Linked DNA regions of Notamacropus eugenii. The main gene of each other region encodes a partner of the protein of the gene in region 3 in a complex. Links are inferred from orthologs where the notes say so. Each region holds a gene or a part of one and is shown on either strand. Other genes may lie near its edges. The genes, in order: MED13, MED20, MED24 and MED12.

Region 1 (7,520 bases), about 17 Mb from region 3:
TAATGAATACCTATACCACGTTGCCTCTCAATTATTTTAAGCCTAGGTAAAAGCATCATAAGTTAGAAGCCTGAAATGCTAGTTATAAAATAGTGGTTATTTTCACTACTAGAAAACAGCAATGGAAGATAAAATTCAAGTCATTTATATTGGTCCCGAGAATACATTCAATGAAGTCCTGTACCAGATTTACATTCTGAATTGAATTGTTTAGGTTAATGTTACTATGTATTTGCTGGGTAGGAAATAAACTAATAGCAGGGATGCAAAAGCCTACAGGGATTAGTGATGGGAGAAAGACATTCAAGATTCTACAATTTGCCACAGAAAATCTACAATGTAAAAAACAAACCAAGCACAGGAGGATCAATATTCACAGGGAATTGGAATCATATCAAAATTTAGTTTATTCTGGTTTCATCCATGATAACTTACCCTTTTTTCAAGATATAACTTTTTTTAGTGTTATTTAAGAAAATCTGCATCATTAATACAGCCCCCAAAAGGTTCATAATGCTCTCTTATGTTACAAATGTATGAAAATTACTCTCACCTGCTAAGTCATGGTGAATAAGGTCAGCAAAGTTGGGGTCCTCACCCCACCAAAATATCCACAATTCTCTTCTTCCAGGTCTCTGATCTCGCCGCCAAACACCAAGTACATCTGCCTTAAGGCAGCGACTAAAACTGCTCAAAATGGGGTCTTCTTCGGTCACCGGAAACAGAATTGGGGCAGAAGTTGGGCCTTGCCATACATATCGTTTCCATTTAATTCCTGTCAAGTCAGCCTACAGTTAAAAAAACAAAAAAAGTGTGATTACATTATCTTACATTCATACAGAGCCAAAATAAGTGTCCTTTAAAGTTTCTTAAAGAGATTGTCATGCTTTTCCAATGAAAGCTTTGAGGTATAAGACCTAAGAAGAAGAATTATGCAACTTATACTTCATGTCATAATATTTAACGTATTTAGAGAACAACTCATTTCTGCTGTATTTGACTCCTCAAGGACAGGGGCCATGTCTTATTTATTTTTGTAATCTCTGGATGTCTTGCAATCAGAAGTCACTCATGTTTCTTCGATGAATATTCTAATTTATACTGGCTGCCTATAAAGTCAAAAATGTTGGGGAAAAAGCCTCAAGGGTAAGAAGTGTCACAGGATTGGAAGGTACAGAATTTGAAGAGACTTCAGAGACTGTCTAACCCAGTCTGCTTCACTTTACAGATAAGGAAACTGAGGTTCAAGGAGAATAAGTGATTTGCCAAAGGTTACATAGACAGCATATATCAGACTGGATCTAAACCCAGTCCCAATCTTCCTTTACTATTCCACAGCCAATGCAGCATTACCTCCTTCAAACCCCTTGAGAGTTTTTTTTTTTTAAAGTATCTTGTAACTACGTATTTGAAAATTATTAACATTTTATGAAAATGACATCTGAAGCAAACTCTTTCCAATTCTTCACTAAGAGTTTTAGGCAGTCTTCACTATTTGTTTATAATGAACTGTCAGATCTGTACTAGTCTCTCATCATAAAAAACAACAAAAATTAAAATACAAGATAAACTGAAGTTGGAGAAACCAGAAGATAAAACCTAGTTTTAAGAGAAAGCTGTGTGCTCAAAAAGGATGACTAACATAGCCCAACTGTAAGAAAATATTTCCCCATACTTTAAAATTTAAGATTGTGGGGAGGAAAATTAACAGCTGGTATTCCAACTTGTCTTCAGTCTGACTTCAAGGTACAAAGCTGGAGGTGCCAAAAATGAAACTGCTGATACATGACCGGCAGCTTACACTTGCCAACTAGTTGTGCTCTCATCCCCTCAATTAACTTTCCTGACTCTGATATCCCTTTAATGTTTTCCTTACAGACAGGCAAACAAAAAAGGTCAAACTAGTCACTTAAAAACAAAAGCTAAGAGTTTCAGATTCAGAACTAGAAAGTTTGCAACAGTTGAGATGTTTTCAGGCCTGGTCAGTCTGGCACAATGCATTCCTCCTTAGCTGCCTAGCTTTCCCAAGCATCTCACTCCAGTTAAAACAAGGAGCAGTCTGCTCAAAATATTTTAAAATGCATACCAAAATATACACAAATATAGAAACATTCAGAAGCAACACTACAGCACCTCCTCCACTACTGCCCTCTACTCACACACAACACAATGTTCCAGTCAGAGCAAGATGACTAGAAAATTGTCAAAAATGGAAGGAAAAAACTTTGTTTTCAAAGTAATAATTAAAAATAAAAAAAACTATGAAATGGCATCCCTGAAATGTTTCAGAGCGCTCTCTGCTAGTTATAAAGGTGAGCAAGTTAAGAGGAGGAAAAAAAGGAGGGGGGACAAGTCTTCTTGGTAAAATTGGGGTTTTGCTTGGGGTTCTGGGTCGGGTTCCCTGCAGGACCGCTCATTTAAAGGGGCGAAGGGAGCAAGGAGTGAAAGAGACCAGGGCAGACCAGTCCTAGAAAAGTGTGATGGGCACTGAGAGAAAGCAGCAGCTGAACAGGAGAATGGGGTGGTCGGTCCGGGGCCTGGCAAGGGAGGAGAGGAAGAGGGTTTGGGGAGAGGGATTCTGGGCAGGGGGAAAGACTCAAGACGAGCCGGGGAGGGGGCTGGAGTCGGGGAGGGGGGAGGGGGCCCGGCAGCGCCCGGGGCCGCCAGCAGCGGGCGGGGAGGGGGCCTAGCCCAGGCCGCCGGGGCCTAAGCCGGGGCCGGGGCCCCTCGGGACGGGGGCACGCACTCCCTCGCTCCCTCCCTCCCTCCGGCCGTCGCTCGCCCGCCCGCCCGCTCCCTCACTCACCAGGCAGAAGAGGTTACAGTGACAATCCTCTAGGCTGGCCCCGTTCGGCACGAAGCAGGAACTCATCGTCCCTCACAGCCGCCGCCGGCGCCACAACCCACCATCCGCCATTACCGCCGCCTCCGACCAGTGAGAGAAACACAGACGCCGGGGAGGGAGGCGGGCGAGCGGGCGGGCGGGCGAGGGAGCAGGGGAAGGGGGGTGGAAGAGGAGGCCGCCGCGGGGCCGGCCAGCCGCCCGCCCTCTCTAACCCACTCCCGGCGGCTGCCCCGGCCGCGGCCCCGGGGCGGAGGGGTCAGCCGGGCCGAGCCTGGAGAGGAGCCCCGCCCGGGGACGAGGGGGACGGGACCTGCCGCCGCCGCCGCCTCCGCTGCCGGGCCCCGGGGACCCGCCGCCCCCCGGCTCAGCCGAGGCCGACGGGGGCTCGCTCTCACACGCTCACTCGCACTCAGTCACTCACACACGCACTGGCACGCACACGCAGCCCCCCGCGGCACGAGAGGAGAGATGAATAATTAATAATAAATTACAGAATAAATAATTAAAAACCTAAACAGAGGCCGCAGCGCCCGGACCCAGACTGGGGCGCAGGGAAGGGCGGGCGGGGAGGCAGGGAAGGGGCAGGGCAGGTAGGGCAGGCGGGCGCGACTCCGGCCCCGACCCCGGCCCGGCAGCGGCTCCAGCGACGTCCTCAAGCCCGGAGTCTGCTCAGCAGCGGCGGCGGTGGTGGCGGCGGCGGCGGCGGTGGCGGCGTCCGCGGGCTGAGACCATTCTTCGCTGGTGGTTTCGCTTCTCTCCCTCCCTCCCCCGGACCGGGCCGGGCCGGCCTGCCCGTCCGCTCCTCCCCCCCCACCGCCCCCCGCGGCCTCACCGCCTGGACGCGGTCGTCTCCCCCATTTTGTGGGCCCGGCGGGCGGTGTTTTTCCCCCTTTAATCCGAATTCACGGGTTTTCCCTTCGCTTTAATGGCGGCCGCAGGGACCAGCTCGGCCTCTCTGCCTGCCCATTGGACGCGGAGGGGTCACGTGAGCCCAGGCTCCAGGGGAGGGGGGGAGGAGGAGGAGGAGAGAGAGAGGAAAGGACCAAGGGACTGAGGGGCCGGGAAGCCGGAGAGCCCCGGCTGCTCGCCGCTAGGGGCGGCCTGGGAAGCGGGTGGCAGCTGAAACAGCGCCGCCTAGTAAGTGCTCCTGGGTCGGAGCCCGAAAGTGCGCTTCTAGCCGGCCTGGCACCTTCCTGGGAAGTTACAAAACTGAAAAAGCGAAAAATGGCAACAGTAGCCGAGTAAGGTTAACTTTGTAACTCATTTCGTATACAAAATGTTGCAGGTTGTCTATTGCGCTATGTAGGCAATCGATCGGTGGAATATAGTAACTAGGAATTGTATAGCTTTCCTTACCGCAACGCTATAATTATTAAACCCATTTTACAGATGGGGAAACTGAGAGCCATAGAGAGGAAGTAACTTTCTTTTAGTAACTTTTTTTTAAAAATTTGATCATAGGATCATAACGAGAAGGGACCTCCAATGCATCTTACAGATGAAGACTGAGGAGTCAAGTCACACAACTATTAAGTGTCAGAAACAAGGATTTGGTGCTATGCCAGACTGTCTTTGAAGTGTTTCTTTTTTTAACATTACAATCATTTCCTGATTTACTCTCACATTCATACTTATTAAATGTCCTTTGTAACACAGGTCTGATAGTGCCTCCCCGATGGTTAATGAAATAAGTGACTGCTTATTATTTCTAGGAGCAAATACAAATTCCTCCTTCATAACCTTCCCCCCCCCCCAGCCACCCACCCAATAACTTTCTCAGGTTCATCATACATTATTCCCCTTCACACACTCTAAGGTCCAGTCAAATTTTCGTTTTTTGCAATTCCTTATTCCAGATACTCCATCTGTCAATTCCATGGTTTTGTAAAGGCTGTTTCCCATGCCTGGAATGAATTCTCTTAGCAACTGCACCTCTTGGAATACCTAGTTTCAAAGCTTAGCTCAAGCACTATCAGGCACATGAAGCCTTCCTTTCCAGATTCACCCAGCCACTTGTACCTTCCCCTTCAAAAAAAAAAAATCTTGTATTTATTTTTCATATACTTATACAGGCACTTGGTTTTCCAACAGAATGCAAGCTTCTTTCAGGGACAGACTATATTCCTTTTGTGCTTGTATCTTCAGTGGTTAGTACAATGCCTACCTAAAAAGAGCCCAAAACACTGTAGGCATTTGAAAAATGCTTGTTGGCCGATTGATTAACAAAAGAAAAACAGTTAAGCCAAACAAAGGGATGAATAATAGTAGTTCACCTTTGTATTATGCTTGAAGACTTGCAAAGAGCTTTACATCAGCAATCACATCTTAAGGTTGACAGTTGAGAACCTTGCCTTCCCCACCTCTCTACGAAGAAGGATATGTTTCTTCATCTTTTTTTTCAGGCACCAAGACTGTTCATTGAATTTAATCTGAGATCAACTGCTTTTTAGGGTTGTTTTCATTTATGTTATGCAAATGTAGTCATTGTGTCTGTCTACTGTTCTCTAGATTCTGGTTTCTTTCTTCTCCCTGCATCAACACGTGCAGGTCTTTCCATTGAATTTCTCAAATTTGGTGGTTGTTAATTTTTTTTTCTTTTACTGGTGCAATAATCTTACACTCATATACTACAGTTTATTCATTCAATTAAAGTGGATGCTTACTTCCAGTTTTTTTTTTCCTTTACAAGCACAAAGAGTACAGCTATGAGTATTTTGTTCTATTTGAGACCTTGTTTTCTGTCATTGCCCTCCTCAAGGGATAGACCCAGAAGTGGGATTGCTGAGCCAAATGGAATGAGCAGTTCAGGGACTTTTCTCTTAGTTCCAATTTGTTTTCCAGAATGGTTGGACCAATTCACAGTTCCACCAACACCAACTATTTCTGTCTTGTATCATCTTTGCCAATCTGATGGCTGTGAGGTGAGAACTCAGAGTTGTTTTAATTTGCATTTTTGAGGTCATTAAATTTTTATTCTTTTTATTATGAACTTAAATATCTGGAGCATTTGTTTCATATGGTTGTTAATCAATTGACTTTCTTCTTCTGAAAACTATTCCAATCCTTTGAGGTGAATTCATTAATTCAGACTCATACTAAAAGTCAGAGGTGGAATTCAAATCCAGATGTCTCCTGGCTCCAGGTCCAGACCTCTTTCCACTGGGCCACAGCTTCCGTAATGGTTATATTGTTTCAATAACCTATTTGAATTCTTTGGAAGAAACATTTTCTCCAAGTACATTGAATTACTATATATATGCTTAACCTTCCACAGAAGCTCTACCTCCAAGCTGCATCTCCAGGATTGTGACTGTAACCCTGGGTTATTAAAGGCCCTGTAGGGTTAGCAGTTTGTAATCCCTTGAAGTTTCAGCTGGGTTCGATGTATTTCAAATCTGGTCTAGCCACAAACTGTTTCTGCTTTCTGAGAGTGAGTCTAACTGGTTTCATCACTAAAATCCGAAACATTTGATTTATATATATTTTTGGTCATAAGGAAGGTTGGAAATTTTTAAAATAGCTTTTCTTTTTCTATCTTTTGCTTTTACATGGCTAATAATAGCTAACATTTATATAGTGCTTTCAAGTTTACAAATCACTAGATGTGTTATCTCTTGGATTTTCACAATAACTTGATATGCATAGGTGCCATTATTATCCTCATTTCACAGGTGAGGAAACTGAGGTTGAGATGTCAAGTGACTCGGCTAATACAGCTTGTAACACAGTTAAGGCTGAGACAGACCTTGTCCCTGAGGAACTCACAGTCTAATGGGGGAGACAATAGGCAAACACGTATGTGCAAACAAGCTATATACAGGATAAACTGGAAGTAACCAACAGAGGGCAGGTACTAGGGTTAAGAGAGATTGGGAAAGGCTTCCTTTAGTAGGTGAGAATTTAACTGGTGCTTAAAGGAAGCCAGAGAAAGTAGGAAACAGAGATGGAGAGAGAGACAGAGACAGAGACAGAGAGACAGACAGACGGAGACAGAGAGAGAGCAAGCACATTCCAGGCAGTGGGGGCAGTCAATAAAAATGTCCTTAGGAAATGAAGCACAGGCATACCTCCACCTTTTGTTTTTCACTTTATGGAACTTTGAAGATTCTGAATTAAAAAAAAGAATTTGAAGGTTTGTGGCAACCCTGCATCAAGCAAGTCTATCACCCATTTTTTCCAATACCATGAGCTCACATCATGTCTCTGTGTCACATTTTGGCAATTCTAGGAATATTTCAAATTTTTAATTATTATTATAGCTGTTAGGGTGAACTGGGATCAGTGATCTTTGATGTAACTATTGTAATTGTTTGGGGGCACCACAAACCCCACTCATATAAGACAATAAACTTAATAAATGTTGGGGACGTTCTGACTGCTCCACTGACCTATCATGCCTATCTCTCTCCTCAGGCTTCCCTATTCCCTCAGACACAATAATATTGAAATTGGTTCAATTAATAACCCTACAATGGCCTCTAACTGTGCACATGAGAGAGTCAACCAATGAGGCAAACTTCATTGTTGTCTTATTTTAAGAACTTGCCATAACCACCCCAACCTTCATCAACCACCCTGATCAGTCAGCAGCCATCAACATTAAGGCAAGACCCTCCATTAGCAAAAAGATTCTGACTTGCTGAAAGCTCGGGTGATGATTAGCATTTTTTTTGGC
Region 2 (7,296 bases), about 250 Mb from region 3:
TGAACATGGTGAAGGGTCATCAGGAAAGGCACATCTTAAATCAGTATCAAAGTACCTAAGTGCTTTCTGTTTGCTGCATACTGTGCTACCTGATGCGGGGGAAGGAATGGATGATGTTTTAGTCAAACACCTGCCTTGTGGCACTTATAAACAAGCTAAACACATGTGAGACAGTAATAATACCAGAAAATGATTAAGTGCCCATATATTTTTAAAGTAGCAAAGAACTTGAAACTAAAGGGGTGCCCATGCACTGGGGAAATGGCTAAACATGGATGGAACATGAATGTAATGGAGTACCATTGTGCCCTATGAAATGAGTAAAGGGATAGTTTCAGGGAAACCTGGAAAGATATATAAACTAATGCAGAGTAAAATGAGCAGAGGAAATGTGTTGTGTTTTGAAGCGAAGAGGTTAAATTAAGGAAGAAGTGATTCCAAGCACAGGGAACAGCCAATGCAAAGGTATGGAAATTGGAAACAGTGGGAGGAAAAGCAAGAATGTCAATTCCTGGATGGCCCATAGGGTAGATTAAAAGCTTTATATGCCAGAGGAGTTTATATGTAATCCTACAGGCAAGAGGGAGTCAGTTGAGTTTACTGAGTATGGGAGTTACCTAAAGCTTGTATTTTAGGAAAACATTTTGGCACCTGTGTGGAGGGTAAACAGGAATAGGGAGTCTTTGAGACAGGGAAACCAATTAAGAGGTTATTAGGTGAAAGGTGATGAAGACCTGAACTAGAGTATCTGATATCTATATAGAAAGAAGGGGAGGGATATGAGAGATGTGGATGTAGAAATGACAAAATGTGGGGACTGAATGGATATGTGAGTGAAGGAGTTTAGGAGGTCAATGATGTGAAACTGGATGAATGGAAGTCAGAAAAAGAGAGATTAAGAAGAGAACTTGATTTTAAGACAAAGATAATGAACTCTGTATGTACTATATTGAGTGTGAGATGCTTATGGGATGGCCACTTTGAAATACCTAATATGCAGTTAGAAATGTGAGACTGAAGTTCAGGATATAGACTGGAGTCAGATAAAGAGATTTAGGAGTCATTTGTGTACCTGGCACATAGTAAATGTATAAAAATGCTTTGTCTGCTCTATAGAGATATTTTCACTTTATTTCAGCTAACGCTTAAGTGAACAGGCACAGGTAATTTTGATCACAAAATTTGATCATAGTCAGGATATAGTCTTGGGGTACACTAGGGATGTACTGGAGCCAGCCCCAACTATTCTTGGGACTGTTAGATTTTCAATGTAAGGATTTATACCTTGGAAAATGGCAAATGCTACTAATGAGAGCTTGATTTACTTTTTTGCTGATTATTTAGATTTAAGATATGAAGAAAACTTAATTATGAAGATTAAGCTTAAAAGCATGTGGAAGAGCTGATTGTTAAACATTTACCAGCATACTACTGGGGTATAACTACAGTTAAGTAGTGTGATTATGGATTATAAACCAGCAAAGGAGTCAGAGAAGTAGGAGAAGCAAGAGAACAAACTGTCTGAAAACCTAAAGAAGAGAGACTATCCAGGAGGAGAGGGTGGTCAGTAGTAGTAGTAAAAGCAGCAGAGAGGTCTGGGCTGAAAAGTGAGAAAAGGATAACTAAACAATAGATGTAAACAAACAAATAAAAATGCTATGTTTGACACTTTTCCCTTATCAGATGTCCTCTAAGATCCTATGCAGGTGCAAAATTCTGAGAAGTCTACTGAGATGGAAAGGAAAATGAATGAACATCATTGTTTGGGTTCCCTCTCCCTCTCATGGCCTATGCGCCTCCATGCCTGAGTCACCAGTTAATGATCATTTATTAAGTGTCATCTATGTGTTAGACTATGTGCTAAGCACTAGGTATACAAAGGCAAAAACATTAGACACTTCCAAGGAACTCAATCTAATGGGAAGACAACAGGAAGGCTTTAGGGGGAATTGGGAAAAGCTTCTTGCAGAAGGTGGGATTTTCAGTTGAAACCTGAAGGAAGCTGAGGAAGCCAGGAGGGCAGAGGTGAGGGAGAAAATTATAGGCAAGGGGGAGAGTCAATGAAAAGATGAGTAGAGATATGGAGTGTCTTGGTCAAGGAACAGCAAGAAGACCAGAATCCTTGGATGGTAGAGTATGTGGAAGACAGTAAAATATTAAAAGACTGCAAAGGTAGGAAGGGGTCAGGTTATGAAAGGCTTTAAAAGCTGAATAGGATTTATATTTGATCCTGGAGATAAAAGACCCACTGAAGTTTACTAAATGCACAATTACATGATGAGATCTGAACTTTAGGAAGAACAGTTTGACACCTCTGGTGGAGGACGGACTGACCTGGGGAGTGACTTGGTTACACAATAGACAAGGATGAGGTGATAAGGGTCTGTACCAGGAGGGTAGTAGTGTCAAGAGGAAAAAAGGGAACATACAGAAGTTTCTACAAAGATGGAATCCACAGGACCTGCCAACTGACTGGAAATAGTGGGATGAGAAAGAATGAAGAGAGTACAGTATGACTCTTAGGTTCCTGACAGTAATAGAAAAGTTAGGGTTTTAGAGGAAAGCTAACAAGTTCTGGTTTGGATATAATGACTTTGAGGAGTCTATGGGATATACCAACCAAGATGTCTAATAGTCAGTTGGAGATGGATAAAAAACTCTATAAGAATCATATGTATGATAAGAGACTATAATTGAATCAACAGAGACTGATGAGATCACCAAATAAAGTAATAGAGAAGAATAAGACAGAACAGTTCAGGGTTTTTGGGCACACTCACAAATAGATGGCTTCACCTGGATGAATGTCCAGCAAAGGAGACAGCAAAAGAACTGTCAGGCAGAAAAGAACCAGGACAGGGGTGGGAAACCTGCGGCGTCGAAGCCACATGTGACCCTCTAGGTCCTCAAGTGCAGCCCTTTGACTGAATCCAAACTTCACAGAATAAATCCCTTTAATAAAAAGATCTGCTCTGTAAAACTTGGACTGAGTCAAAACGCCACACCCAAGGACCTAGAAGCCTAGAAGCCGCAGGTTCCCCAACCCTGAACCAGGACATAATCAAGACAGTAGTGTCACAAAACCCCATAGAAAATAGAGTATTAGGAAGAAGAGGGAGGTCGACCCAGTGTCAAAAGCTGTAGAGATTTGCAAAGTAAGAAATAACTGGTACCTTGGAGGGATCAGGGCCCGTAGAATGATGAGATCAGAAGGCAGATTGCAAAGAATTGAATGAGAGGAAGGTTAATTGGAAGTTAGCACCTATTGTAAACAGACTGCTCAAATTCTGCAGAAGAGAGGGAGTCAGATATAGTCGGATGGAGGGGGGGATGGAAGGCTCAAGTGGGGGTTTTTTGAGGATAAGGGAGACGCGTGCATGTTTGTAGGCAGTAAGAAAGCAGCTAGTATACAGGGAGAGGTGGAAGATTAGCGAGTGTGCTTTCAAGGTAACTAACCCACAAGTTTCCCTGAAGCTCCGCCTTCAGTTTCTCGGCTCCTCCCCCTCCCCTATTTCCCGCAGGACCCTTTCGACCCCCTCACTAACCCAGCCGCGTGGTGGGCTTTCTCGGCGCTGTCTGGTCACCCGAGCCATGTTCAGCTTCTAGCTCCTCCTGCTGCTCTCGCGCCTGCTGTAGGATCCGCCGGGTCAGCCGGGGCCCCACGTACTCTTCTTCTTCCTCCGTCCCGCGGCCTCGGTCCCTCCGTTTCTCCCGGCTTCCGGGCCGTACGGAGTCCCCTGCCAGGATCTGGTCCGCCAGAGGGGCATGCTTTGCCTGCCCTCCGGCCTTACGGGACGACTTGATCTTGGGCATGGTCTCCACCACCCCTTCCTCTGAAACACACGTGGGGAACTGGCAGGAATATGGACTGCGCCGGCGCCAAGCAGCGCGTCATTCTCTGCACCTCCCAGATTTAGAAGACAAGCTCCATTGGCGGAACACAGCGCCTCCCAGCGATCGGAGGCCGGAAACTCAGCTTCCGGTGCCCCCCCTACCGGCCCCGCCCCCTGAAGTTAGACGTCACCAGGCCCCTCCCGGGGCCCCCGCCGTACGACGGCTCGCGTTATGTGAATTGGACTCGTAGTTGCCCACTGTAGCTGTAGCCCTGGTTTGGATTTGTTCTGTCTTCCAGAGATGAGTATTTAGGTCGCGAGTCAATTCCTAGAAACCTCCCGCCTTACTCTAGGGTGGGGAAAGTGGGCGGAGCTCCTAGTCGGGGTGATCGCCCAAGTCCTGGCAACTCCGCGGCTGGTGCTCTCTTTGAGACGCTTTATTTATACGTCACTTCCGAGGCCCGACTTAATGCATCACTTCCGGATTCCTCTTTTTCCTCCTCCCCTCCCCCTTCTCTCTCCCCTACAGTCTTTCCGTCCACCTCCCACCAAGGCCTGGAAGTGGGGCTTCCTGCGGGAGAGCGGAGGGAGAGGCGAGGCCGCGGCGTCGGATTCCTCCAACGTACACACTCCCGTGCGACCTGGAAGCATGGGGGTGACATGGTAGGGCCGCGAATGTTGCACGTGGAGGGGGGAGGTCTCAGAGTTCCTTGGGCACCCGGGCCGGACCGCGAGGGAGTACGGAGAAGGCGCTGCGTCCCCGCAGAGGCCTCCTCCCGACCCTTCTCCTTTCCCGGTCTTGTTGGGATGAGTGGGTGGGGGCGGGATGCCTGGGCTCGGGTGTGAGTCAGGCCCTTCCATCTACCAGCTCTCAACCCGTCCCCGCTTTGGGGGCGCTGCAGGCCTGGTGGGGGTGTGGGTGTGTTGGGGGGAAGTTTACGCTTGGGTTTTGTAGGTTTTTTTTTTTAATTGTAGGTTTTTAGAGATTCTGGGAGACTTTAAGGCAGTTCCCTGTTCTTAGGGGAAGGCGAAGGGCGGGAGGAAGCCCTGGAGGTCACTGAGTGGCAGGCTTCAGCTTCTCCTCTTCCTTCGCCCGACCTCCAGCCCGAGACACCCCGCAGTAGAGCTGGACCAGGGGGACGGGATCTCCTGCCTGACCAGAGTTTGATCACCATCCTCCCGGGATGGCGGGAGGGAGCATTATCCCTGGCACTGAAAGGGGGAGAAAGGAGCCAGCTTCTGAAGGCTGTTGGGCCCGGCTTGGAAAACCCATCATGTTGAAGAGGGAGAAGGAGAAACAGTGCCCTGGTGGTCTGCTTTTCACATCTGGGGCTGAGGGGTCATTGTCAACCCTATCTTTCCTTTGTATCCCTCTAGCGCTTAGCACAGTAACTCACACGTAGTGCTTAGTAAATGCTTCTTGACCGAAGAAGGTATCAGATAAGGGCACAACTTTTTGGTGCCACATCTGAGAGCTTGTGAAGACCTTTCCTTTCTAGAGTTATTTTTGGCACTTGCAAGTTACTGACTGCCAGCTAGTAGTCCCCAGAGTTCAATCAGTAATCTCTTTCTGAGACTTGGCATGGTGAGGGGAAAGGTGTATGACAGCAAAGGGAACTAGGTAAAAAGCAGAAAACGAGAAACATCTGCTGCATTGGGAGAATGATATGCTTAGTGTGATCCCTAGGATATCCTTATCTTTCTTTTTCTGGAGAATTCTCATTTGGGCCAAAGCCACACACAGACTGCCTGTAGTGTTTTGCTTCTCGCATATGAGCAGTGGCATCTCCCAGCAGGGATGGGACTCTGGCTGGGATGGGATCTGGGGCTACCAGCTTCCTTTGCTGAATGAGAAGCTGGGGGAGCCTGTTCACATCTATGTGGACCCTGAAGGCTCATCACTACCCTTCTAGTGTGTCCCAGATGCCTGTGGCTGAGGGTAAGAGTGTCCAGCAGACCGTGGAGATCCTGACCAGGAAGTTGGAACTGCTAGGGGCAGAGAAGCAGGGGACATTCTGCGTGGACTGTGAGACCTACCACACAGCGGCCTCTACCATGGGCAGCCAAGGTCAGTGTGTGGTAAGTAGGACAGCTGGAACCTTGCTCAGACTTAGTAGATTCTCCAGATGCTAATGTCCTTAGACATCTTTCTGGCTGAGACAGTTTTCTGCTCAAGGCTATTCATTAGTATTTCTGAACTCCTGACGCTCAGTTGTAAGAGTTTTGGTGTTTTTTTTCAGTCTAAAGGTTGAGAACCAAGAGGAAATCTTTCTACACTTTTTGTTTGTTTGTTTCCTGTCTTGGAACTCCCTATACTATCACTCTGGCCACTTCCTTTGCCATTCACTGAGGCTCAATATACTGTCCACTCTGTGGGAAGGAAACTCTGTACCAATGGTTTGAATTAAAATGCAAAAGTAGAAATGATGAAAAGACCCACACACTAGGAATAGGGGGTGTGGGACCTTAAATTGTAGTCCTTTCTGTACTACTTACTTGCTTTGTGAGCTTAGACAAATCTTTTGTCTGTTCCATCAGCTGTATATTGGGAATTACAGTTTAAAAGGTTGTTTTGGAGATAAAATGAGATATGAAAGTGCTTTGAAAAGTGTTAAGTGGTATACACATGTAAAAGGATATTTAGAAAAGATAATCTTCACAATTGAACTAGAGAGGCAAAACCTAGATACTTACTTAAAATATTTTTAAAGCTTATTTTTTTATCTCTTTTTATATTGCCTTCATTTTGAATTATAACCTTACCCACTCTCCTCTGCCCAGCAAGCTATCTCTTGTGAAAAAAAGAAAATTTTTAAGAATGTTGGAGGGAAACAGTTCAGCAAAAGAACTGTCACTAATCGTTTTATATAGTCCATGCCCACAGTCTCCTACTTATACATAGAGGAGAGGAAGCTATGTTTGGGGGCCAAGCTTGGTTACTGTAATTTACATAGCATTTAGTTTCATGTTTTTTATTTTCGTCTTGGTCTTTTTGTTTACATTGTTAACTTTGTGTATATTTTGCCTATTTGTCTGAGGATGAGAGGGAAGTGAAAATGAATTCCTAGTTCTCTCTATCAGTTCCAACTCTTTCCATGCTTCTCTGAATTCTTGATATTTCTCATTTCTTAGAGTGTAATAATCTGTTACATTCATGTACCCTAGTTTGTCCATTGGTGTCTGTTTTCTTATTCTTTGCTATTCCAAAAAATTCTGTTATGAATATTTTAGGGTATAATATGAGACTTTCCATTTTGGACCTCCTTGTGGTATAGGCTTATCTGTAGGGTCTCTTGACCAAGAGGTATGGACATTTTTTAGCACCCACACCTTTTTTGCATAATTCTCAATTGTTTTCCAGAAATTGAGTAACTCACAGTTCTGCCAATATAGTATTAGTATCCAGGTCTTTCTGAAGCCCCTCCAACATTGATCTTTCCCATCTTTTGGCATCTTGACCTAT
Region 3 (7,661 bases):
CATACACTTCTCTTCTTTCCTTTTCCTAGGATCCCAATAACCAATCTCCTTTCTGAAAAATAAATATTCCTGATAAGAAAAATACCTATATTCCTGATTTCATCAACCATCTGTACCTCAGTTTCCCCTGCTCTCCTTTTCCTCCTCCCCAGTGCTCAGAGGTCTGTCAAGCAGTGAGGTAATGCCAAGACAGCTTGGAGAGTTTCCTTCACATTTCATCTGCTGGTACCAACTCTCTTTAGGCTAGGGGAGTGCTGGGGGTGGGGGAGACAGAGAGCTTATTTCCACAACTGGCTAGTTGATGGCCAGTATCCCCCACCTGTCACTAGGATATGAAATGATTACAGGGGCATGGAGTTGTATGAGGTGTTGGCTCTTAGGCAGAGGTCTTCTTAGGGAGATAACTATCTAGAATCCCTATTGATAGGGGAATAGGAGAGGGAGAAATTGTGGGGGTACACCATAATAACAGAAAGAGGGAAAGAGGAGGTGTTTGGATACAGCTTTTGTCAACAATAGCCAGAGAACAGGCTGTTCCTTAGACCACCCTTTCTCAGGTTCCTTTTCCTGTCTCTCCTATCCTTAATATACTATAGTCTCCTATTCCCTTCTCCCTTCTCTTCCTTTCCACCACCTCAGAGTACAGGGGCAGCTAGGTGGTGCAGTGGATAAAGCACCAGTGCAGGAGTCAGGAGGAGCTGAGTTCTAATCTCACCTCACACACTTGACACTCATTAGCTGTGTGACCTTGAGCAAGTCACTTAACCCCAATTGCCTCATCCTGGGTCATCTCTAGTGATCCTGATGAATATCTGGTCACTGGATTCAGATAGTTCTGGAGGAGAAGTAAGGCTAGTGACCTGCACAGCCCTCCCTCACTCAAAACAAAGTCAAGTGCAAGTCAGGTCATTATTTCTCTGATGGCATGGTCTTCTGCGGCAATGGAGGACAAACACACCTCACAGTACAAGGGAAGATGGAGGGATAGGAAAATCCATATTCACTATTAAGCTAAGATGGTGAAATCTCTCCCATCCTCACTATGAGAGGCAGCGGGTTGAATAAGAAGAATAAGAAAAAGCTATAGATTTGTCATCAGATGACCTCAGTTTAAGATCCTGACTCTCTGTGTGATCTTGGGCAAGTCACTTGAACTCTCTTGACCTCACTTTCCTCATCAGTAAAATGAAGATGTAAGTCCAGAGTAGTTTCTACAAAGGGTTGGTCTAGATGATCTCAGAGACCATTTCCAGCTCTGAAACTGTGATGTTATGATCACTGCATTCCAAAGAGTGTCTCCTCTTCCTCCTCTTGATCCCATGAGAGATCTGAAGGGCAAACCTTCTTGGAAGACAAGCCCCCAGGGACGACCTACCATGAGAGAATTACCTCTAAAAAGGAGAGGTTTGGACAATCTAATCAACTCAGGCTGTTGTTAGTCAGACAAATTTTCCAAATGTGATCGACCAAACTTCATCCCCACCTCCTCATGAGAAGGGAGCAGGGGAAGAGGGGCCCCACCCTGGGGAGCCCGTGGGAAGGCAATGGCCTCCGCTGGTAAAACTGGGCTAATGACAGCAGGGGAACCGGCAGGGCCAGAGTGGGGGGCTGGGGTAATTAGAGCTTTGCCCAACCTGGAAGATCCCAAGATGAAAAGGGCTTTGGCGTCTCTGGGTTGGTTTAATGTCCATGAATACAGCTGTATGTGTATGCATAGGAAGGTGTGTGGGGTGGGGTGGGGGTGGGGGACCTGACACATTGGAGAGGTCTCTTTTTGGATGACTCCTACAATTTGCATATACACAAAGGATTCTGGGTTCTAGGTTCTGGATTCCAGTTCGGTTCTCCACCCCGTTGAAAAAAAAAAATCAAAATTCTCCCAGCATCACGATGAGATATAAGAGCAGGACGGGAGAGACCTCTGCATGTATCCTGCAGGTACATAGTCCTTTCCAGGTCTCTTCCTTTTGACCAAAGGGGCCGTGTTTTTACTTTTCTCTACATCACCAGAGCCGAGCACAGTGCCTGGCTTCATAGTACTCCCTGAGCCAATGCTTGTGGACTGACTAACCGACGGCATCCTCCCTCCTGGGCTGCGGAGGGTCTTCAGAAACATGGCTGGGGACAAGAAGTGGCCTCCAGGAGGGAGCCTAGCGAAAGAAGGAGGGCTCAGAGTGGGACCGGGAGAAGCGTCGGGTGGGAGCGAGCGTCAGAGAGCAAATTAGCGAGAAGCGAGCGATTCCCGAGGGAGCGATCCGGCAGGGATGGGCACTTGTGAGTGAGCCGGCGTGGGATAGGATGGGGCGAGGGGGGACCCGCCAGGCGTGAATGGACTGAGGGCATAGCGCACTCGGTCCGAGTAAGATGAAGAAGGTGAGAGGAGATAGGGGCGGGGCCGGGCCGGGCTCGGCACAGCCGACCTGGCCGGGATGGCCCGGGCTGGGAGGGGAGGCCGCCGGGCTGCTAGGCTCGGCCTGCAGGGAGCAGCAGTGAGCCAGGCCCGGGCGGCGCGGAGCCTGGAGCCCGAGCCCGAGCCCGAGCCCGAGCCCGAGCGGAGCGGGGCGGGGGAGGGAGGAGCTAGCACGGCCGCCGCCTCTGCCGGAGGAGCCGCGGGGCCGCCACACTTGCCCCCCTCCCCCTCTCTCACTCGCACTCACACCCGGGGACAGGAGGCGGGCGGCCCCGGCCCCACCGGTCCCCCATGGCCACCCCCGGGCCCCGGCGCTGAGCCACCCGCCACCCCTCCCCACGCACAGCCCAGCCCGCCACGCCGAGGTAAGGGGGAGGGGGAGGGGGTATTAATATGCAAATACATTGCGATTGATTATGCAAAGCCACCGGACGCTCGCTGGCTGGGGTCCTAGTCCCGGCTGGGGGCGTCCCTGGGGACCCGCTGCCTGCACAGCCAGCCCCTGGGTGACACTGTCAGTGCTGGGGTGCTTGCAACTTACCAACTCCCCGGAGTAAATGGAGGACTCGGCTGGCGGGGGAGGGGGACGGGACGGTTGCAGCGGGTTGGTGGCCAGGAGGGGGGCGGTGGTGCTGCAGGGGCAGATGGCGTCCGGGCCTCGCCCCCCACACCCCGCCTCCGCCGCCCCGCGGGTCCCCGGCCTCTCCCGGTCCCGTCTGCTACGCATTGTCGGAGCCGCGGCCCCGGCTGCCAGGCGGCCCCTGTTCCCCCGCCAGCCGCCGCCGCCGCCGCGGTTTGTTTACGGTTCGGGCGGCCTGTTTCTCCCCCCACCCTCCGCCCTCCCGACTGCCGGGGCCGAGCTGCTTTTGCAAAGCTTCCTCCGGCGGGAGTGGGGGGGGGGGGGGGTTGCAGCCTCCCCGGGGCTCGAGGACCGCCCCAGCCCCTTCACATGGGGCTGCATGGCCCTCCAGTTGCAACACTCCCAAATGCAAAAACGCGGCTGGGGGAAGAAAAAAGAGGAGTTGGTAGGAGAACTCCGGGGTCCCCGGGAAGCGCCCGGAGAGTTGCATGCTCCAGGCCACTTGGGGAAGTGCGAGACCAACAGGGAGGGAGCTGAGGGGCTTGCAACGTGTCCCTCGAGCCCCTGGCAGATGGGGTTTCCCCCTCTTCTGGATGGGGAAAAGGCCTAAGGGGTGGCGGGGTCAGAGTTTGAAGGGAGGGTGAGGGAGGAGGAGCGAGGCGCGGTTGGTAGTACTCCGGGAGCCCTGACCTGGCAGAAGCTGGCTGACGGGAGGAGGAAGGGGGGCTTGTCCGGGAGGTGAAGGGTAGGGGGAGGCGGTGAAAGCCAGACACACCGGGATAGGCGCTGACACGGGGACGCGGGGCGTCAAGGACAGGAGGGTGATAGACACACCCACACTGGGCCAGGAAGACCGAACACTCGTGAGCAAGTGCACACGCTGAGATGGACACACCCACAGGGGGACCCAAGGACAGGCAGACAGACACGGGCACATACCCACATACAGACTCCTATACACAGACATCGCTATACATAGTCCCAGGTGCAGTCACAACCGACAAACAGATACTGTATTTATGGAGGACCTAGTGTCCAGGCACCACTGCCTTGCTTTTCATTGAGAGAGATACCAAGAATAGATACATTCTTGCCTTCAAGGAGTTTAATCAATCTATAAATATTTATTAATTGCTTCCCAGGTGCCAGGCACTCTGCTAATCGAAAAGGATACAAAAAGAGGCAAAAGACAGGCCCTCTCCTCAAGGAGTTTACATTGTAACTGAGGAGAGAAGATTGCCCCCAAGAATAAAAGCTATGTCAGACAAATGCACATATATAGTAATATACATACTCTCTTACTCCAAGGATTCTTAACCTATGGGCCATATTTTTTTTGTTTTGTTTTTTTTAGAAGCTTATTTCAATATAGATAGTTTCTTTTTATAATCTTATACATTTAAAAACAACATTCTGAGAAGGGTGGATAAGCATCACCAGGTTGACAAAGGGTTCCATGACACTGAAAAAGGTTAAGAACAACTCTGTATTTAGATTGTAAATCCCTTTAGGGCAAGGATAGTATTATTTTGTACCCATTTATACCCAACAGCATTTATCCCAATGTTTCCTGTATAATAGCTGCTCTGTAAGTATTTGTTGATTGAATGATAAGAGTAGCAGATTTACTGTGTCACACATGCAGGCATTCACAGACACAAATGCACACATTCTTTCTCTGTCTCATGCTTTTTCCTGTGTCTCCCTCCTCTAAGGGCATGGACAATTTTAAAGGAGATTAGGAAGAGAAATTTTCGTGAGAGAGGGGAGGTAAGGGGTTTCTGAGGACTGAGACAATAGCCCCAGACAATAACCCTGCCTAAGCTGCCTTGACAACTGGGGGCAGCAAGGTTGTCTTTAGGGGAATCAGACTTAACTCTCTGCCTCCCACTTCCCCACCCTAAAAGTGTCTTGGGGAACTCATTTGCCTGAATCTTTCCTGCTTACCCCAAAGCCTCCCCATAACCTCAACTAGATGTTTTTTTACTATCCGTTTAGATGTTACCTTCTGTCCTTCTGTTCAAATTGCTGTGTTTTTATGTGTGTTTTTGTCCTTTTATCTGTTTATCTCTCTGTCTGGTCTCTTTCTCTTTTAAGCTCTATATTTCTTTTCTCCTGTCACTTTCTTTTGAGTGTCTCCCAGTCTTTGCATGTCTCAGCATTATAATCTTCTGTCCTAGAGCTAGGGACTAGCTAGGACATCCTTCATATTTCTCTGGTTGCTAATAGTGAGCTTTTCCCTGCTGCCTCCCCAGGGGTCAGCAGGAGGTTGGGGTGGGGGTGGGGGGTGGAAGGGGCTCTGCTGGCTTCTCAGGACATCCTGGATTTCCTTACCAAGAGAAAAGCACAGCTGTGGCCACCAGGGTTTGGGGAATGGGGGTGGGGAAGGGTGCTTCTGTTCAACCAGGCCTCTCTACCTGGCTAAGCTAAGCCTAGATACAGGACCTAAATAAGGGGAGCTCTAGGAACTATTGGGGTTTCCTAATGTCAATGAGGATTCCTGTCTTTTTGGCTTTCCAGGGCTCCCTATTCAATTCTAAAGCTTAGTAGGTAAGAGTATTGGTGTCTCCTATACCCCACCCCATCCTAACGTCTATGGGAATTAGCACTCCAGGGAAAGGGTTAGGAGCTAGGCCACTGACACTGGAATATCACTCCCATTGGGATTTATTCCAGGCTCTTAAAACTCCTTATTTTATTGAGATTGACCCTGAACTTGCCTTGGGGAGCCAGATTCTGGAACTAGCCCTGATTTCTTTCTGCCCTTCTCCCCCCACATCTGATTGTTCCCTCATCTCCAGCTTTGCCATGTCCCCCCAAAGTCCAGCCATCCATACTTTATGCCATCCATATACTTTGCCACAACACATCTCTGAGAGTACCCTTGTCTTTCATGAATGTAGAGACATTTAAGGCCCATTGTGGTGCCTTAGTGCCTGTGGCACTGACCAAGGGTGGTGTATGATAGAAATGGCTAACCCTCCCCTCCCAAGCTCTCAGAGGATTTTGTGAAGTGAAGGGAAAAGGAAGGAGGAGAATCCTGGAGCCTGATTTGACTGGCCCCTCCCCTTTGTTCTTCCTCCCCTGTCCCTCTGGTGTCAGTGTGTGATGGCTAGGATAGACACCTGGGTAGCTACCTCCATTTGCCCTGGGCTTCCCTCATTCACTGGCTTACCTGGAGGAGGTAGCATAGGATCATTGATCAAAATGATATTGATTCCACATTGCCCAGCCTGGTCAGGGATAGAACTAGCTGAGGAAAGGGACCATGTGCCTGACTGTCTTGGGGAGAGGGCTGGAGGAGCTGGGAAAAGTTGGATGGATGAAGGAAAGGATAGAGTGAGGTTGAGACAGGCTTCCCTCTGGAATATCCCTGAATGGAGGAAATGTGGACAGATCTGTTGTGCAGATTTTCTGTCTCTTTCTCCTAACCCTGACTCAGACCCCTCCCCCACAGAGGTGGGGGGGGGGGGGTTTGGGGGTTAGGGAAGGCAAACAAGTTTTGCAACCTGGAGACTTGTGGAGAAGAGTTTCTGGCTTGAGGATAAGGCCCCCTGACTATCCTCTTCCCTCCATCCCCCCCATTCCCTAGAGAAAAGGGACTTCAGAATGGAGATTCCTCTTCCCCACCCTCCCCCTTGACAGTGAGTCGGCAGGGTGGGCTGGGTTAATTATTGGCATCTCTATCCGTGGCTTAATTTGTCCAGTTCTGTTGTACTTGTGGGGTTGGGAGTTGGGTCAAGGGGCAGGTTCCCACTGCTACCCAACTTGACATCAAGAGCATAGTTGAGGAAGGGTGTGTTTGTGTTGAAGACTCATTTTCTGTCCCAAAACCAAGGATATCTCCCTGAACCCAGGAATACTATTGGAAGAGGTTGGGAAACAATGGTACCAAGTAGGTGAAGGGGAACCAATCAGGTGGACCATGAAGGTTTGGGACTCAACCTGTCCATCTAGCTAGGTGACATCTTCCCCCCTTTCTGTTGCCATGGTGATGGATGCATCACCTCCCTTCCCCCCTACTCCTGCCCCTGTTACCAAGTTGCCAGCTCCACCCACTCCAGGTGAGGCATGAGACAGTTGAGGGGAACCAGGAAGAGCTGCTGCCCCCCCCCCAGTGGAAACAGGAAACTCTGGAGAGGAGTGGGGGGGGGGCACATCCTACTTCTTAGAGCTGCCAGTCTGTTTGGAGGTGGAGATCAGGGAAGCATTGATAGAGTTCCATGGCCTGGATAGTATTGGCCATTCACAATGCTCATGGACTTGACTCTTAAATGCCTGCAGCCTTCCAATGCCAAGGCAAGAGGTGGAGAGCTGATCTCTCCCTGGTGGGAAGACTGGACATGCCCAACATCAAATGTGTGCTGCCTGCCACTTTCTTGACTGGGAGGGGCTTAGGTGCCAGGCAGCTCCAAGGGCAAAGGGGATAGATTTGAAGCCAAGAATTCACCTGGCCAAAAAGCACAGGTGTTTCACCGGATGTACTCCATTGTTGCCCCTGAAGGCAGGTTGGGTGGAAAAGAAGACTTTTTTGGGGTAAGGAAAGTGGACAGAGTCTGCATAGAAGTTGTTGCCTAAGGCATATTAGTTTTGTGGCTAGGGAGAAAGACTGAACATGTGCCCAGTAAGTGAAGGGTTAATAAATACTTGCTACATTAACAGGCCTCACCT
Region 4 (7,321 bases), on a different chromosome or scaffold from region 3:
GAAGGATGCTCTAGGAGACCAGCCAATCAAAAAGGCCAGTTACCAGGGATGTCTTTTCAAGACCAGGCCAAACATGACAGGCTCCTGCCCAGCACCAGTCCCGCCAGCTCCAGTGTGGAAGATAGGAAGTTGAACAGGAGGGAGTCTCCTTCCTTACTTGCCCCAACCCTCCCCTTGACCCCCCAACATATTCCTTTGGCTTGGGATCCTGGGATGCCAGCTCTGGGCTGCAGGCCCTGACTTCCAACCCTCGTGAGACACTCATCATGGTCATGACCCAGAGCTTGCCCCAAAGCCTGGCCATGGCTCAGCACTCACCTGAAGGATGCAGCTGAGCCCAAACACCAGAGGTCGATGCTGAGGACACTGGAGCAATTCACCAAAGGGTGTGGAGGATTGGCTGCCAGCTGGTGGCTGAGGAGCAGGGGTTGGGGGCAATGTGCCACTGGACTGAGTGGCAAGCACGTGGGGAGGGTGGCTGCTCACACCATCCAGCTGCAGGGCCAGTCTCCGAGTACAGAAATAGGCAAGACGTCGAGAGAGGTATGCAGACTGGACAAATTCCCCTGAGTACTGTGGAGTAGACATGGCACTCAGAATCTCCAGTCAGTCTGGCCCCTTGCAGTCCCACAAAGCTCAGGCTTTAGGGTCTTACCCGAAGCAGCAAGGGCAGCAGGAGTTTGAGTAGCTCATCCTCTCCAGGCCGGATTTTCTCAAAACACTCTAGGACCCAAGTCAGGAACTCATGTCTGTCTAGCATCCCATCCTGAAAGTGCAAGGGTACGAGGAAAACCAGAGAAGAGAGAACAGCATAGAGGGAGCCAGGTTAGGATCTTGAGGGAATTGCAGCAGGTACCAAGTGAAATGGCTCCTTATTGAGCTCAGCTTGGTGCCCTGCACACTTAGCCTCCCCCAACCCCTCCCATTTCCTGCTACCTGGAACATGAACATGGCCAGTTTCTCATTGTAGTCCCACTGTCGAAGAGCCACCTCCACCTCATGGGGAAGGGACCCCGAGGCTGAAACACAGCTCCCAGGCCCCGGCCGGTAGAACTCTGCCATCTTCTGCAGCTGCTCCCACAGATACTTGGTGATAATCTGGGTCCACTCTGGAAGTGGGATGGAGAATGGGATATCAGGAGGTGGGGCAGAGGGGGGAGCGGCCCTAAGGGGTGGGAGATGCCCGTGCTCTGCCTTTGGTTTACTCACCCATGAAAGGGTCGATGACGTGCTTCTTCTTAACCTTGGTCTCTGTGATCGCTGCGTAGTAGGCACAAGTCATCTTGATGAGCCAGGCAGCCCTCATCACTGGCACTGCGTACTTAGCCAAATAGGCAAATACCTCTTCTTTCTTCCCAAAAATGGGCACCTACATGTGGATGCCAGAGGGATTCTGAGGATCCCAAAGCCACTTCCATGGGACCCACTCCCAAGTCATGTGAATTGAGTCCCATTGGCCTTGGGGCTAGCTACCAAACTGGTGGCTATCTCTCCCCGTGAGGCCTTACATACAAAAAGAATGGGCATATCAGAGGAGAGAGCACTAAGAAAGGTGGCACCCAGAAGGTGGCACATAGCTCTGAAGGACACTAGAAATTCTACAAAGTGGAGGTGAGGAGGGAGCACCTTCAGGCCTGGGGAACTGACTGACTGCATAAAAGGGCAGGGAGGCAGGAGACAGGTCGATGAGTGGGAAATATGATGGAATGTGCCAGTCTGGTGGCAACAAAGAGGATGAGAGCGGAAGCTGAAGTCAGCCTGGGACAAGCTGGAAATAGCAAGGGGGAAAGAGCTGGCAGCTGGGAGCCAAGAGTGCTCTCTCCCCCCACAGCCTGTAGGCCCCAGGAAGCAACGCCTCACCTTTTTGGCTAAGTGTGTGAGTGGCTTGGTGCCAGCCAAGTCCGTGAACCAGGCATGGATGGCACTCTGGGAACGTGCGGTGACCAGCCAAAAGTTATCCTTCTGATTCACCTGGGGCTTTCGGCGCCCGGTGTCCGGTAGGGTATTACAGCGAAGCTTCTCTGCGATGATGCTGCTGAAGTTGGAGCTGATCTGAGGGGGGAGGGAGAAAAGGGAGAGGGCAATCGCCAAGTGGTCCTGCCAGAGGGCCAAGCTGAAGCTGCCCCAGCCAGCCCCCTTGGCACATGGGATAGCAGGGGTCCTCCAGTGCAGCCCATTTCTTGCAGGGGCCAGAGCTACCCCCCCCCCCCAACCCTCCAGCTCTAGGCCACTTTGCCCCTCCCTTCTTTGGAAGCCAGTGAGAACGACTGGCTAAGGAAACTCTGGTGGGGAGGCTAGTTGAGGAAGCGTCGTCGCCCCCCTCTCCGGTCCCCCGCCCCAGCTCGCCTTGGCCGGGTTGAAGTTGACGTTCTTAGCGCTGCCGTGCTCATCCCCGGACACTGCGGGCTGGTTGTTGAAGCCCTGCTTGACGTTCAGGGCAGTCAGCTCGTCCTGAGGGACAGGGGGGAGGGGACCCTTGAGCCATCGGCGCTTGGGCCTCAGCGGGGGGGGGGGGGGGTGGGGGGGGGCCACGCTGACAGTTGGTGACAGTGAGCCGCCGGCCGGCCGCCCGTCCCCAACTCTCCAGGGGGAGGGGGACCCGACCTGCCAACTTTGGCGGGGAGCCGCGGGCGGGGCCCTCGGCATCCTCCGGGGCTGGAGGAGTCGGGACAGCGACCGCGCGCGCCCACCCCCCCCACCCCGGGTCCAGATCGCCGGTGGGTCCCCTGCCCCCTCCTCCCCCCTCCTCCCCCCTCCCCCCTCCTGCCCCCTCCCCCCTCCTCCCCCTCCCTCCTCCACCCGGCCGGGCCGCGCCGCGCGCACCTCCTTCTGCTTGGGGTCCTGAGGGTAGACATCGGGCGGGCCCAGCCGCGGCCGCTTCAGCGGCCGGTGCTCGTAGCTCAGGATGCCGAAGGCCGCCATCTTGGCCGGCAGCCCCAAGCCGCGGCAGCGCCGGCTGGGCCCGGCCGGGAGTGAGGAAAGCGAGCGAGAGACGACTGAGGGCCGAGAGCGGAAGGGGGCGGGGGTAGGGGCGGGGGTAGGGGCGGGCGGGGGCGGGGTCGGGCCCAGGCCCGCGGCGGGGGCGGGGCGGGGGCGGGGCCAGCGCTCGGGGGCGGGGCCGGAAACTGGCGAGCGGCGGGGGCCGGCCAGGCCAGGGCAAGGAGAGAGCCCAGCCCGGGAGCTCCGAGCCATGTGCCGCTGGCAGGCTGCCCGCCGCCTGCCTCCGCCCATCTGGGCCCCTTTCCCTCTCTCTGTTCCTTCGTACTTCCAGCCTCCACCCATCTGCCCATCCTAGGGCACCTGCCCTCAGCCGCTCGCGGGCCTCCGGAGCCTCCTCAGTTTTTTCCTCTGTCTACTACGGCCCAGGGTGGAGGGAAGGGGCGAGCATCTCCGAAGCCGAAGTGTGTGCCCAGTGCTTACTTCGCTTAACCCGAGAGCCCCGAAGGGATCCCCACTGACGCTGTCACCTCCTACCACAGGGTCCCCATTGTCTAAAGATCCAAGGACCTCAGAGGTCACGTCGGGCACCGCCTCATTTTACGTATGCTCTTTTCCACTTCTTTCTATTTGAGGAACCTTTAGAAAGTCCCTGCTGTGCCCAGAGTGCCCCACCTCCCCTCAGTGTTCCTACCTCGCGCGAGATACGGAAATGGAGCAAGACGTAGTCACTGCGTTCAAAGAGTTTATGATTTAGTAGGAACTGGGGATGGATAGAGAAGTATGTGTGACAAGTTAGGAAATGGTTGACCAGAAGTCCAACAGAATATTCAACATAAATGTTGGGCGGAATGACAGAAGAGCTGCCTGGAGGGAGGCTCCCGGCTAGCTAGCTCAAAAAAAGCCTTCGATTGCTCCAGCAATCCCGACGCGCACCCCAAACTAGGCGCAGTGGCCTGCATTTAGCCAAACATCTACGCGGGTTCAGCTCTCCCGGGGGCGGGGAGAGCGACGAAGCCAATCCCAGCAGCCCCGGGCTCCGCAGCTGCGCTCCGGGAGGTAACATTCACCGGATACCAGCCAATTACAAACTACCTCCAAAGCTTGTACAAAGTAATTCAGTGGCGCTGCAGTGCATAGAGCGCAAGGCCTGGAGTCAGGAAGACCTAACTTCAAATTCAGCTTCAAACCCTTACTTACTAGCGGTGTCATTTCAACCTCTGTCTTCTTCAGTTTCCTCAACTATAAAATGGGGATAGCTAGTAACAACTCCTACCTCCCAGGGTTGTGGTGAGGATGAGTGAGATCATATTTGGAAAACTCTGAGCACAGAGTAAGCTCTATATAAAGGGGAACTGGAATTTTGCTGGGGAGATCAAGAAAAGAGCCCAGGGCCCAGCTGGTCCGAGCTCTCAAGGGGCTTGGAGGCTGATTCCAAAAGGCAATTGGGGGGGGGGGGGTGAGGGGAGAGACTGACTGCCTGGCCAAAGACACAGAGAAGGGCGCTGGAATGTCCTGCGTGACTGTCTAGGTCAGATGTTTTCAATATGTTGGTGAGTTTGACTGGTGTCCCTCTTCGTCCCCCCCCCCCCCTTTATCTTTTGTAATCTTTGATATAAGTGTCTTTAGGAGAGAGAAAGGGCGTGGGGATGGTGTACATAATGCATTAAGGATCAGTACTTCACATATATTATCTCATTGGTTCCCCACAGTCACCCCAGGAGGTGAATGTATCTTTTGTAGAAACAAAATATATATCATTAACAATTTAAATAAATCAAAAGAATGTCACGTGTGAGCAAAAGCAGGTGAGCCAGGTCTCCTGGGCCCTGTGAGCGTAGGAAGTGTGGGCTCGGAGGACTCGACCTTTGTCTAGAAAAGCAGGTAGGAGGCAAAGAAACAATCAGCCAGCCAATCAAACAATGCGCAGTATTCAACCGCTCTGTGCCCAGCAGGGTGCCAAGCACTGGGAATAATACAAAGGAGGCCAAAAGCAATGTTTGCCCCCAAGGAACTCCCAGCTCCAGCTAAAGCCTCGGAAGGGAAGGAAAGGGCTTTCAAAGCCACCCTGAGCCGGGGCCTAGAGGCAATAGAGACCTCCCAGCAGAACTTGGGAGAAAGGGAGGCACCTGCTTAGGCCTAGGCTTTCAGCCAGAAACAACTTTCCTGACTTTGGGGAGGATGGCTGGGAGTGAGGAGGGAACAGAGCCTGGGGGCAGGGAAAGCTTGAGAGAAGGTGGGGCCCGTGGGGACTCAGGCTCCACAAGACTTGTCCACTAGTTATAAAGGGGGTGGAAAGAGTGGAGGGGAATACAGAAGAGTTGCTGAAGACCCCAAGGTTTGGAGCCCAGGTGACTGAAAGGATAATAGTACCCTCATAACAACAGCTAACATTTATAGAGCAGTCTGGGCTGCTAGGTGGCTCAGTGGATAGAGCGCTGGGCCTGGAGTCAGGAAGACCTATGTTCAAATGTGGCCTCTGACACTTACTAGCTGTGTGACCCTGGCCAAGTCACTAAACCCTGTTTGCCTCAGTTTCTTCATCTGTAATATGAGCTAGAGAGAATATAGCAACCCAGTCCAATATCTTTGCCAAGAAAACCCCAAAAGAGCTCAAAAAGAGCCGTACGCAATTGAAACGACTAAGTACAACGATATATAGCACTCTTAAGGTTTACAAAGTGCTCTACAGCTATAATTTAATTTGATCTTCACAAAAACCTTGCAAATTAGTATTATCTCCATTTTACAGATGAGAAATATGAGGCAAACAGGAGTTGTTACTTGCCAGGGTCACTCAGCTAGTAAGTGACTGGCCGCATTTTGGACTCAGGATCTTCCTGATTCCAGGTCTAGCACTCTGTGCACTGTGGCGCCCTCTAGTTGCCTCAGCAGTAATAGTGTGGGCTTCATAGAGGGAATAGCCCCGGAGCTGAACCTCTAAATCTGGGAGACACGACTAGAGTCTAGATTTGTGACTTCATTGTTATGGGGGAAACTTTCAGGTGAGGAAATTTCCCCTACCTATGCAGGTCAGCACCTTCTCTTCAACTTCTAGTCTTAAATCGAGTAGCCTGGGGTCACTGGGAGATTAAGTGACTTGTCCAGAGTCACACAACCTGTATGTATCAGAAGCAGTGGGATTGAAATCCAAGTCTTCTGGTTTCAGGGCCAGCTCTTGAATCTGGAAAGCAGCTTGGCAGAAACTAGGTTAAAGACCAACATCTCACACCATATACCAAGATGAGGTTTTAAAAAAAAACAATATCAGAAGCAAATTAAGGGATCGTGGAAGATTTTACCTGTCAGATCTATGGATAAGGGAAGAATTTATTACTAAACGAGATAGAAGGGATCATCAGAAGTAAATGGATAATTTTTATTACATGAAATTTAAAATTTTTTGCAAAAACAGAATTAATGCTGCCAAGATTAGAAAAAAAAGGCAGGAGACTGGGGAGGGGGGCGGTTTACAGCAAGTTTCTCTGATAAAGGTCTCATTTCTCAAATATATAGGGATCTGAGTCAAATCTGCAAAAATATGAGCCATTCTCCATTTGATAAATGGTCAAAGGATATGAACAGGCAGTTTTCAGGAGAAGAAATCAAAGTGATATATGTGTGTGTGTGTGTGCGTGTGATATGAAAAAATGCTCAAAATCACTACTGATTAGAGAAATGAAAATTAAGACAACTGAGGTACCACCTCACATCTATCAGATTGGCTAATATGACAGAAGTGGCAGCTAGGTGGCAAAGTAGATAGGGCACTGGGCTTGGAATTGGAAAAACTCAACTTCATGAGTTCTAATGTGGCTTCAGACACTTACTAGCTGTCACTTTACCCTGTTTGCCTCAGTTTCCTCATCTGTAAAATGAGCTAAAGAAGGAAATGAAAAACCACTCCAGTATCTTTGCCAAGAAAACCCCAAAAGGAGTCACAAAGAGTAGGGCATGACTGAAATAATTCAACAAACAAAACATGATGGAAAAGGAAACTGACAAATCCAGGAGGAGATCTAAAAAAAGTGTTGGTGCTGTAATACACTGTTAGTGGACTTGTGAACTGGTCCAATCACTCTGGAGAACAGTTTGGAACCATACTCAAAGGGCTATAAAACTGCATAATCTCGGACCCAGCAATACCACTACTAGGTCTGTATCCCAAAGAGATCAAAGAAAAGGGGAAAGGACCTATTAAGTACAAAAATAATTAGAGCAGTTCTTTTAGTGGTGACAACGAATTGGAAATTGAGAGGATGCCCATCCATTGGGGAAATGGCTGAACAAGTTGTGGTATATGATTGTGAAGGAATACTACTGTGCTGTAAGAAATGATAAGAAAAACCTGGGAACACTCATTTGAGCTGATACAAAGTAAGGT

The links.
Region 1: MED24 (region 3) and MED13 share a complex: the UniProt entries of both Homo sapiens proteins name them as parts of the mediator complex. The link is inferred for Notamacropus eugenii from reciprocal best matches to the Homo sapiens genes MED24 and MED13.
Region 2: MED24 (region 3) and MED20 share a complex: the UniProt entries of both Homo sapiens proteins name them as parts of the mediator complex. The link is inferred for Notamacropus eugenii from reciprocal best matches to the Homo sapiens genes MED24 and MED20.
Region 4: MED24 (region 3) and MED12 share a complex: the UniProt entries of both Homo sapiens proteins name them as parts of the mediator complex. The link is inferred for Notamacropus eugenii from reciprocal best matches to the Homo sapiens genes MED24 and MED12.

Annotation. Positions count from the first base shown.
Region 1 is NC_092873.1:373,002,799-373,010,318, reverse strand, and holds the start of MED13 (mediator of RNA polymerase II transcription subunit 13), read right to left. Parts: upstream 3,001-7,520; 5' UTR 2,873-3,000; coding exon 2,807-2,872; intron 789-2,806; coding exon 554-788; intron 1-553. UniProt on the Homo sapiens protein: Component of the Mediator complex, a coactivator involved in the regulated transcription of nearly all RNA polymerase II-dependent genes.
Region 2 is NC_092873.1:102,946,514-102,953,809, reverse strand, and holds the start of MED20 (mediator of RNA polymerase II transcription subunit 20), read left to right. Parts: upstream 1-4,294; 5' UTR 4,295-4,302; coding exon 4,303-4,496; intron 4,497-4,937; exon of another isoform or gene 4,938-5,017; coding exon of another isoform or gene 5,018-5,172; intron 5,173-5,746; coding exon 5,747-5,901; intron 5,902-7,296. Other genes in the region: BYSL (bystin), read right to left, coding at 3,546-3,813. UniProt on the Homo sapiens protein: Component of the Mediator complex, a coactivator involved in the regulated transcription of nearly all RNA polymerase II-dependent genes.
Region 3 is NC_092873.1:355,633,847-355,641,507, forward strand, and holds the start of MED24 (mediator of RNA polymerase II transcription subunit 24), read right to left. Parts: upstream 3,016-7,661; 5' UTR 2,952-3,015; intron 2,776-2,951; exon of another isoform or gene 2,524-2,775; intron 53-2,523; exon of another isoform or gene 1-52. UniProt on the Homo sapiens protein: Component of the Mediator complex, a coactivator involved in the regulated transcription of nearly all RNA polymerase II-dependent genes.
Region 4 is NC_092879.1:100,125,978-100,133,298, forward strand, and holds the start of MED12 (mediator of RNA polymerase II transcription subunit 12), read right to left. Parts: upstream 3,013-7,321; 5' UTR 2,923-3,012; coding exon 2,824-2,922; intron 2,452-2,823; coding exon 2,347-2,451; intron 2,053-2,346; coding exon 1,861-2,052; intron 1,370-1,860; coding exon 1,210-1,369; intron 1,110-1,209; coding exon 937-1,109; intron 767-936; coding exon 656-766; intron 574-655; coding exon 319-573; intron 11-318; coding exon 1-10. UniProt on the Homo sapiens protein: Component of the Mediator complex, a coactivator involved in the regulated transcription of nearly all RNA polymerase II-dependent genes.